2 linked regions of the Bombyx mori genome follow. The protein of the gene in region 2 binds, or shares a complex with, the protein of the main gene of each other region. Links are inferred from orthologs where the notes say so. Each region holds a gene or a part of one and is shown on either strand. Other genes may lie near its edges.

Evidence for each region. The genes of interacting proteins can lie anywhere in the genome.
Region 1: the proteins of negative elongation factor D (region 2) and negative elongation factor A are in contact, whole or in part, in a crystal structure (PDB 5L3X), measured with the Homo sapiens proteins. The link is inferred for Bombyx mori from reciprocal best matches to the Homo sapiens genes NELFCD and NELFA. Residues at the interface, in XP_047296144.1 of Homo sapiens: Cys204, Gln205, Gln206, Leu207, Glu208, Phe210, Ser211, Leu214, Arg215, Leu218, Ala219, Ile221, Leu222, Asp223, Gly225, Glu226, Cys241, His242, Gly243, Glu244, His245, Thr246, Tyr247, Leu248, Phe249, Ala252, Met253, Ser255, Val256, Leu257; in NP_005654.4 of Homo sapiens: Leu23, Trp24, Ala25, Leu54, Leu58, Leu61, His62, Arg65, Pro88, Trp89, Met92, Val93, Ile96, Leu97, Phe100, Gly104, Ser105, Leu106, Leu108, Leu110, Asn116, Val117, Asp119, Ile120, Leu121, Glu123, Leu124, Arg125, Lys127, Val128.

What each region holds. Positions count from the first base shown.
Region 1 is NC_085132.1:9,764,603-9,770,003, forward strand, and holds the start of negative elongation factor A, read right to left. Parts: upstream 3,210-5,401; 5' UTR 3,203-3,209; coding exon 2,993-3,202; intron 1,656-2,992; coding exon 1,401-1,655; intron 744-1,400; coding exon 566-743; intron 192-565; coding exon 39-191; intron 1-38. UniProt on the Homo sapiens protein: Essential component of the NELF complex, a complex that negatively regulates the elongation of transcription by RNA polymerase II.
Region 2 is NC_085111.1:9,518,915-9,524,496, reverse strand, and holds the start of negative elongation factor D, read right to left. Parts: upstream 3,471-5,582; 5' UTR 2,849-3,470; intron 2,820-2,848; exon of another isoform or gene 2,557-2,819; intron 2,532-2,556; exon of another isoform or gene 1,515-2,531; intron 1,401-1,514; 5' UTR 1,374-1,400; coding exon 1,311-1,373; intron 742-1,310; coding exon 516-741; intron 1-515. Other genes in the region: survival of motor neuron-related-splicing factor 30, read left to right, coding at 5,573-5,582. UniProt on the Homo sapiens protein: Essential component of the NELF complex, a complex that negatively regulates the elongation of transcription by RNA polymerase II.

The DNA.
Region 1 (5,401 bases), on a different chromosome or scaffold from region 2:
GAGCAGCGAGACGGTTTGTGATATGACCGATATGTTACCGAGTTTTCTTCGTTTCTTGATCTGCGCATGCGTGGCAGGCTGGTCGGCGATGTCGAGGAGTTTGATGCCGGGACGCTGCGAGCGCCAGCCCGTGCCGCCCGCGCGCATGGCCGCACGACCCGCGCCCAACGACGGCAAACCCTTCAGGGGAGCTGGACACACACGGCATACATTTGTTTTTTTAAAGGGATTCAATGACCTGGTAACTAAGACCTTTAGGTCAAGTCTTATTTAAATTTTAATGAAAACTTTTTTTTATATGAAAAATGATATTATGAAATGAAATGATATGGGATGAAAGATAATCTCAGTAAATTGGTGGTCATTTACTGAGACTTTTTCAGTGGACTTTTTGGAGGATCCCGAGAAGTTACGTTCAGCGGCTTTGTTTGATTTTCCCACATTTATGCACTTTTACAGAACTTTACAAGACAGCTTATACCAGCAAGAAAACTACAATTGTTGTAAGCTTTTAATGTTTACAATTGAATCTTAAAGTTGCTACTTTATTAATAACAAGACTTACTAGTATCTGTCATTTTCCGAGGCATTCCTCTGCTACGTATTGGTACGGTAGGAGCTTGAGCTTTCTTCTGATTTGCCTGAACCTCTGTAGCTTTGGCAAGGAGCTCGCTTCTGAGCGATGCCGATTTAGGTTTCCGTTTCAGTGTAAAATGTTTTATCGGATTTGTTTGTTGGCCAACCTGTAAGCATTCATAGAAGGGTGCCAGCTCCAACTTAAAAAGTTCTTTGGAAAGGACATATATTTTTTTAAATCAATTTTATTGCAATATTTTCGTTTAACTTGGAATATATGATTGCTATGACCCAATAATAGACAGAAAAGTATTTAAAGTCACAATACAATGTTATTTCTTCATGGTAGAAATTATTGATAAAAACAACAGCATAAAAAAAATTCATTCTAGCTTTATAGAATGAATTTTTGAATTATCATATATTTCATATGATTTAATTACTTAAATAGGTAATTTTAATTGACACAAATATGTAATTACATATAATAATAACTAGCTGACCCGGCAGACTTCGTAGTGCCTCAATCGATAAATAAAGGACCTAAATTTTTTGTATAAAATAAACTTTACACAAACAAAAGGAATCCTTCCGACTGGGGACCCATCAAAGGAAAAGCAAAATTGTTATTTTTATTTAATTCCGAGCATTTTCATATCTAGCTACCTTTTAAACCTTCTCTGGACTTCCACAAATAATTCAAGACCAAATTTAGCTAAATCGGTCAAGCCGTTCTCGAGTTTTAGCGAAACCAACGAACGGCAACTCATTTTTATATATATAGATAATAAAATAATGGAAAAAAATAACACAATAAAACTTACCACAGATACTAAAGCATTCTTATTTAAATACAGGCACTCCAGCGGTAATAATCCTAGATCCGAATGTTTGGCTAAAGCTCTCCTTAACTCTCCAATCATATCACTAAATATTGGTCTTGTCTCATCAAACTCTGCTATCTCTGTATTAAGGGTGCCAGCTGAGGGGTACGTTTTGAGGACTTCAGCAAGCATCGCCACCCAGAGGTCTGAATCCATTGCAGCAACTTCAAGGATCTCCTCGAGTTCACTTTTCCACTGGTATTAGAATACAGTTTTAAGATGATATTCTGGTGTTTTGAAGCAAGCGAGAAACAGGAATATGATTTGAAAACTACATGTAGTTTTGCAGAAAAGACTCAGTTGGCTCAAACAAACATTAAGCCATTTAAATTCTTTCTAGCAATTTTGTGGCAATGATTCAATTCCCAGCAAATAAAAGTAACTGTTCTCTCTTTCTGCTAAAGTAGATGTACCTACTTTAATAACCATTAACTTGATATAAATCAAACATACCAAATTTTTTACTGAGCCAAAACTCTTAATATTTCTTTTAAAGCTGTTTTCAGATATAATGTAATATTTCCATTAATAGCTTATTAGCTATGCTTATTATAGCTACAATATGTTGTATTCAGCATAGTGTAGCATATAATAAGTTGAAAATTAAGAAACTTTAACTTCCACAGCATTTTACTAAGTGACTAATATAATTTCAGCAAACAGTATTAGAGGAATTATTTCAAATTATATCTGAATTTTAAACACGTTTTTGTGTTTACGTTGTTACAGTTAAGCTCTAACTGTACAATTTATGGAGCCTGGCCACCTTTTAACAATAACCAGCATCTTGCTTGACTCATCTTAAAGCACAAAGTAGATTGTAATAAATTGTAATAGATTTTCTAGTATCCTTTTTCCTTAACAGAATATGACTATAGCTCATGTCATTTTATTTGCTACTCAGCCTTTTTAAAAACACTACCATTAATATTTTAAGAATTAAATAGAACCAACAGAAGCATTAAATTGTAAGAATGATATTACAAACTGTTGCATTTGTTTTAATTTGCTCAATTCAATACTTAAAAACACTATTTACTAATGATTTTAGTAAAAAATTTGCAAATTATATCAGGAACACATATTGCATTAATGTAGTCTGGGTATTTAGTGTTCAATATTTTTATGTCACTGCAATTTAAAAAAATGACATGGCATATCACTAAGAACGTGTTATTTATCATGTTGAATTTTATAGTGTAACATAGCTTGAATATTTTGCAACAAACATGATTTTTATGTGTTTAATTTCGAATGTCACATTTAACATATTTTTGTAACTTTTATAAATGAATATAGAAAACTACCCAGTGATTAAATAGTCATACGGAAATAAATTTGTTCATTTTAATTTAAACAATACCCTTTCAAAAATATTTTTCAGTAAAATCCAACATGTAAATTCATTACGACAACAAATAAATACTTGACATTTAGGCATCTCACTCGCACGTATCACTTTTCAGGGTGACAGAAAGTGACACGACACTAAACAGTTACGCAAATCCGAACATCAAATTGAAAAGTTATACCTCTTCAACATTTCTGCGCGGGATATGAAAGAAACTTAGTAATAATTTCAATTTCACTTGCGGTTGTAATTCTGGAAAACAGTCTTTTATATTCTTTAATACTTCAGCGTTTAATTGTGAACAAATCGAGCCACTTGTCCAAGAATCGTTCGATGTACCGAGTTTATTGTGGAGCCACAAAGATATGTCACTATCCCGCACGTTCGCCATCTTGTAACTGAGATAGTGACGTGTTGTGGATGTTCCAGCTGCAACTATAGAAAATCGATTTCATTTTTATAAAAATCGATTTTACCAATTGATTGTCGTCCAGCAAACCAAACATATCGAAACATATTGAAATTAGGCCAAAATAGTTTAGAAGTTAAGCTAAGCTTAAATTTGACGTGCTTTACCCGGAATAGGAACACGCTGCTGCAAAATAGGCTAAGCGGTGGTTTTTACCGGTAGTACGCTGTACCACCAATAAAATAGCCTACTTACTAAATTTACTTCTTCGTAAATCTATCTTAATTTAATTTCAATAAACTTAATCCCATCTTCATTTTCGTATTTTCCTTTCCATTTTAATTTTAATTTAGAAGATTGGACTATATCAGTAAAGTCTGTCCTACGCAATTTGACAATTGAAATAAAAAAATCGATTGGATACGAAAATCGTTATTAAATGAAACATTATAAAGCGGGGTTTTTAGGTTGGAATGCGAGAACTTTAGATCTTTATGTACCTACATTGTTTTAATTAGTCTTTAAGCTTATTTGTGTATTAGGGGTGGGTTATGAACTGTTTCTTCTTCTTCTTCGACTTTTAAGATGTCATTGTAACTAATGCCGAGTTTATAAAAATCTTCAATTATTAAACGCATATTCTGTAGCATGTTAAAGGATAGAGCGAAATAAGATAAAATTAAATAAGACTGGTATCAATCGGGATGACATGTAATGAAACGAGATGAGACACGATGAAATAAAGGCTCAGTAAAATGTTGGTTATTTACTAAAACTTCAGTGGACTTTTTGGAAAAACCCGACTAGCCATGTCCAGCAGCTTTGTTTCATTTTCTCACATTAAACATAAAATAAATAAAAAATAATTAATTCACACAACCTCACTCCTCGCGTTCCCGTTAACTGTTAAACATTACGAAATTGTACAATTATAGGGGGATTTGACGAAATCGATGTCTTCTGAGATTCTTAAAAACAGTTGAAATATTTCTAATTTAATTCGTCTCTAATTTAGTGAGCGCGTAAAGATATTCACTACTTTATATACTTCATTCCTTTTAAATTTCAAAATTCAAAACGAATGTATGGATCAAAATTTATGTCATAACTTTTTGGCGGGATCACGATGTCTATTGCACTCACTGAAGTAGTACTTTAAAGGTCTATGATTGCACTGAAGTATGAAGCCTATGGAAATGAAACGTCAACAAAAAAAGTGTGTGTGTCCGCTCCGACGCACGACTGGAGTTTACTGGATATAAAAAATTAAACGAAACAATACGAGAAATAGTTCTATATTACGACAACACGATACACTACAGATTATTAACAAATTAACGAGACACAAAACAAACGACTAACAAATATATGAAAATACAATAATGAGAGAAACGCGCGATCAGTACGAGGCTTTGTGGCGGACTGCCGGCGCAGCAGCCCGGCGTCACCTGCGATAACGCATTTCGTGTGACATGCGCAATCAGGCGCATAACGCATTTCGTGTGACATGCTAGTACGATTTTGGTCCCCATAATTTTCATACCCCGGGCCTATATATGTAAATCGATTCTAAAGGAGTAAACTCCAAAAATGCGTGCCCATTGCGTGACACTGTGACGTCATCTGGCCGCTAAGCATGGCGGTTTTAGTGCTGTTCAGAAGATTTTAATGCTATTAGGTTTTATCGATAAACGTTCTTGGCTCATTTTTTTTTAAATATTGTTGAGTATTAATTATTTGTAGAATTTATACTTTAATAGGAAGTAAGTATATTGTTATGTGCAAAGATGATGTGATTTAGGTGTGTGAAATCTAAAACAAGTTCGTGCTTCAAATTTGCCAAGTAAACGATATAACCATTTTTAAAAGTTGCTACACTGATTTTATAAAGTTGTCGTTCGACAACTCAATGACCGCAAAACATAAAGATATGGCGTAGTACAGTGCCATCTGCCCATTTCTAGCATGCTAAATGTTATCGTCTCGCTCGCACTTGCGTATATGCCGGAAAGGGGTGAAAGCTTTATGTCGGCGATAAAACGTTAGCATGCTAGCTATGCTGTTTTGGATATCAAAATAAGAGTACGTGTTTTTCTTAGACTATTTACCTCTGTATTACAATCTATTTTAATTGTGTTGCTGACTAAAGTCCGTAACACACTACCACAGCGCGCCTCAAGG
Region 2 (5,582 bases):
GTTACAGTTACTTTTGAATTTCGTTTATATCTTGCGATCAGTTACAAAGTAAAATAACGCAATCAGTTTTGAGTCGATTTCAACTTTCCAAGAAATAAAACAGAGAAGAAAGTCGAGGTAAGCGGGCATAATGTACACATCTGGTTTTCTCACTCAAAATGTACAATTCTGGCTTACTCGCTCAAAGTTATACTTGTAGCTCACTCAGTGTATCCTAATTTTTTTTTACTAATTCAGACAGAACAGCTCTTATCTGAAGTTAAGCAGTTAATATACACCATAATGTGGGTTCCCACATGAATACTGTGTATCCATAACCATATATAACATATCCCCTATACTCCCATATAATCTACCATTCCCTATTCACTGTATCTGTATTTGCTCCATATTTATGTAAAATATACCTGCAAATAAAGAGCTTTTACTGTACTGTAGAATGGTAACAACTAACTAAATAATTCGGTAAAATGGAAGAAATAAACATTATTTCCTATATCAAATATAATAATTACCTCCAAGGATAAGCCATTCAGCTAATAAGTTGGCCATCTGAGCTACAGCATTGTAATTCATTGACAGTTGTTCAATAACTTGCTCTGGATTTCCACCAGCTTGGAAGTATCTTTTAAGCTGACCAAAAATACCAGGTTCCATAATGTAGTCTGGAGTTTTAAATTTTTCCAGACATTCATTTAATACCTCTTCAGGGTTCTCAATAACATCTTCATTTCCTTCTTCCTAATAAATGTTATTTACCAGTTTAATAAATCAAACTACATATCACAACAAAATGCGTTGGAGTAATTATTTGTAAGTACTTATTTTGATTAATAACATCAATGAAATTATGAATTGCCTGTTCTCAGTTCGTGTTAAGGTTTCAGTTTGTGTTCTTAATGTTACTCTGTTTGGCTAAGGATTAATTACATTTGTTCAGGTTGTAACTTTTATTTTAATCATATTAACCACTCTTCAATGGTATGACAAGGATTGGTAAAATAATATAAATATTCATTTAAATTAGTAAAAAGATAAAATGCTACTTTTAAAACAGATAATGGATATATAGATGTAAGAGAATTAGGTAGTCAGGGAAACAAAACATAAATCTTGTTTTTTTCTAAGTTTTAATTAACAGAATTTGTTTTTTATGGAATAATATAAATATTGTTCAGCATCAGATTTATTAAACAAATGATGAGTTTTTAAAATCAGTTTATATTCATAAAATGTATTTACTTTAAAATTGTAATAAGTCACTATATTAAAAAAAATACCTATTAGCACCAATTAAATTATTAACTTACTTCATATTGATTATTATGATTCTGACCATCCCATACACGTTCTTCCTCATACTGACTAGGCATGGTTGTATATTAAGTTGCACTCAACTTCTATAAAATATAATATTTATTAGATTTGATCAAAACAATTGCTACTGCTTATAACTATGTGTTTTTATTCGTGTTTACACGGAAATAAAGATTAATCGGAAAAGGTACACGTACAGCTTTAAACAAACAACAAATTTATGATGCTGAGGCCCTTGATTATCAAAGTTAAAACAACTAATATTCATTAAATATGAAAAAAACCTTTTTTTTCAAACTAAACAACATTTTAATTTTTACTATTATGAAAAATGAATTGGTTTGTACCATGGAGTTAATAAGGTTTGTACTAGACATGCGTAGTTCCGGACCTAAATAGTTCCTGGAACTATGTCCTCATATGGAACTATATCATTCAATCCGAGTTGTCAAAATTAACATGTTCAGACAGTTCCATTTCCATTCCAAGTGTACTGTTATGCAGGAACTACGAACGCGTTGAACATGACGGACATGCGGACATGATTAGAGCATAGGTACCGCGCGGCGCGGAGGCGTGGCGCGGCGAGTCCACCCGAACGAGTCTCGAAACGACACGAGTCCACGTAAAGAGATAAGGCGACATATGGCACGAATACGAGAGAGTGAGATGGAGCGAGTGCATGAAACTGCGTGTGGAGCTCTTTCATATTACATTTTTATTAATATTGAAGTTATGCTCTACGACCTACGTGTTACAGTCGATAGTTGAATAAATTAAAATGTTTTGCTATGGATTTTGACCTTGACCATGCATCATTCCTACGAGCACTTAACCTTAAGTGTTTGTGGACCATTTCTTAGAAAATCATAATTCAAAATTCGAGAATTTTAAAACATTCACCACTTTCGCTATTCGGTATCTCGGTTATGGGAAAAAGGTTGTAAGGCTACAACGAGCTTAATTTACGTTGTATATCAGAATAACGTGGTATTTTAATTAACAACTGATAGGTTATAGTTTCCGGTGCATCGTACAATACCTACATTGAAAAATAATGAAAGTAGTAGAGTAGTTGAAATTATGACAAAGTAATTACAGTACATTAATAAATTATGCAACCAGCTGTAACAATGAACCTAAAACTAAAAACCTTACAAAATAATAATTACAATAATAATTGCCATAAGCGGCAATCTATTTTTATATAGTGCTTTTAAAAAATTGTATTTTTAATACCTTTTTTGAAAAATATTGTGTAATTAATAATAACTTAATACGTGATTCGCTACACTACAAACAGCTACTAGACTTAACATGTCCGCGGAACTAAACAGCTTCAAACAGCTACTAGACTTAATATGTCCGCGGAACTAAACAGCTACAAACTACAAACAGCTACTAGACTTAACATGTTCGTGAAACTAAACAGTTCCGCGAACATGTTTACTGGAACTAGTTCCGACACTCAAAAGAACGATGTCATGTTCAATCCAGTTCCGAACATGATTAGCGCACGTCTAGTTTGTACCTATAGTCGGATTTTTTATTAGACGAAGTAAACTGACGTTTACTGTGTTGTCAGTTTTTGATGAAATAAAAATAGTGTTGTGACAAAGTGAACGATTGAAAAAACTCCTGAATTAATGAAATTGCCTCGATTGTCTAGTGAATAGTTAGTGTGCCGAACTGCCGATATCGGGCACGGGGTTCGAATTTTAGCCGTGCTTTGTACATACCAACGAGTTTTCGACGAAACATTATGTTCCTATGGTATCTACCTGTACTGAATACCGACTGTTTTAAACATTAAGAAAAACATTGCGAGGAAGCTTGTAAGACTGTCCTATTTCCAATGCATCATATAGTTGAAACTATAGATGTATAAAATATAACAATTATAGGTACATAGGTAATGAAAATAAAAAAAACTGATTGTAGTTACATACTACTAGTAACATATTATTATATTGGATCACTTTAATACAATTTTATTGTAAAATATAAATAATATTCTTTTATAGTTTGAAATTAATGATTAACTCTTCACACTCATTGTTCATTTATGTGATTGAACGAGAACTGAACGCATCACTATTACTTTAAATATAGCAACATTATTTCACAAAGTGACATTAGCTACTGTCAGCTGGCTTCGTCTAATTAAAAATCCGACTAATTTTTTATTAGACGAAGTAAACTGACGTTTACTGTGTTGTCAGTTTTTGATGAAATAAAAATAGTGTTGTGACAAAGTGAACGATTGAAAAAACTCCTGAATTAATGAAATTGCCTCGATTGTCTAGTGAATAGTTAGTGTGCCGAACTGCCGATATCGGGCACGGGGTTCGAATTTTAGCCGTGCTTTGTACATACCAACGAGTTTTCGACGAAACATTATGTTCCTATGGTATCTACCTGTACTGAATACCGACTGTTTTAAACATTAAGAAAAACATTGCGAGGAAGCTTGTAAGACTGTCCTATTTCCAATGCATCATATAGTTGAAACTATAGATGTATAAAATATAACAATTATAGGTACATAGGTAATGAAAATAAAAAAAACTGATTGTAGTTACATACTACTAGTAACATATTATTATATTGGATCACTTTAATACAATTTTATTGTAAAATATAAATAATATTCTTTTATAGTTTGAAATTAATGATTAACTCTTCACACTCATTGTTCATTTATGTGATTGAACGAGAACTGAACGCATCACTATTACTTTAAATATAGCAACATTATTTCACAAAGTGACATTAGCTACTGTCAGCTGGCTTCGTCTAATTAAAAATCCGACTATTACATATTTATATTTATTTTATTTTTAATTTTTTAAATTAAATTGTATACCAATTAATTGCTCCTTCAGGATTTATATTTGTTTTTTTTTCACGACTAAAACCGCGTAGAAAGTTTAGCCATTATAGTTGACGCATGCGCAGTACACATATTTTGCATACATTTATTCAACTAATAAAAATAGTAAATTAAACAAAAAACGAGTAACTTCGAAAGAGAACAAACGTGTTTTATATAAGAACAATCGAAAATGAATATTTACGAGTCATTAAGGATGAAAAATATTAAAAATTGCATTAGAGGGGCTAACTTGTAGGTATATTTTTAATTTTTTTTTTTAAATAAATAAATGCAGAACAAACAATTATTAACAGTGAACAATCATGAACAAATGATGAACAAACGAATTAATAGAAAATAAGTATAAAATAGGAAAAAAATATTTTTTTGAGGGGCTAACTTCATTCACCTGGCTATGTCAGCGTAACCCTAACTTTAGTAGGTGAGCTCACGGGGCTCAAACCTGGTGAAGTAGGTGAGCTCACGGGGCTAGTAGTAGTTTTATTTTTCCAAATGGAAAGGCACAGGTATCATACCACACAGCGTAATCTTTTATATGTATTTTTTATTTTATGAAATATGATACTATGAAATGAATTGAAGTTGATTAATCTATGAAACATGGCATGAAATGAAATGAGATCTCAGTAAAATGGCGGTCATTTACTGAGATTTTTTCAGTGGACTTTTTGGAGGATCCCGAGAAGTTTATGCCATAGATATGATATTTAAATATTTTTTTAAGGGATTTTATGAACTAGTAACAAAGACCTTTAGGTCAAACATTTAAACATAATTTATGCTATACACAGGTTAATTTAATGAAAGTTTATCTCATTTAGTTGGAGTTTGAATATAAATGTAATGGCAGGCAACACTTGACACATGATTACAGATTTTGAATATTAGAATTATTTTAAATGCTTAATAAACAGATGATTGTCTTCTCGTAAGAAAAAGTCAGTACTTTTAATCTAGATATGGTCAAAGCAACATGTAAGAGTTTTACAAAAATATAAAGATAATAATTTTATAATGGTGTAACAGTGTTCAAACTATCTGCAATATAATTATAATGAAGCAGTGTTTTTTTAAATAGCCCCTCATTACCTACAGAACCCAATCCCCTCAAATTTAAACGTCCAACATTTTTCATAAAAATAAGTTTATAAATTAAAATAAGACATGCCTTAAAAGTGTTAGTTACCAGGTCATAAAAATCCTTAAATAAAAAAAAGTTGAGAGCACTGATTGTCAGATTTGTCTGATGTCAAGCAATGACAAGCATTGAAGCAACAGCAGTAAAAAGTTGAAGCGATAAATTATCAAGCAAGCAAATTAAGCATTTGTCGCCTGGTTGATTGAATTTAATATATAACTATGGCCGAAG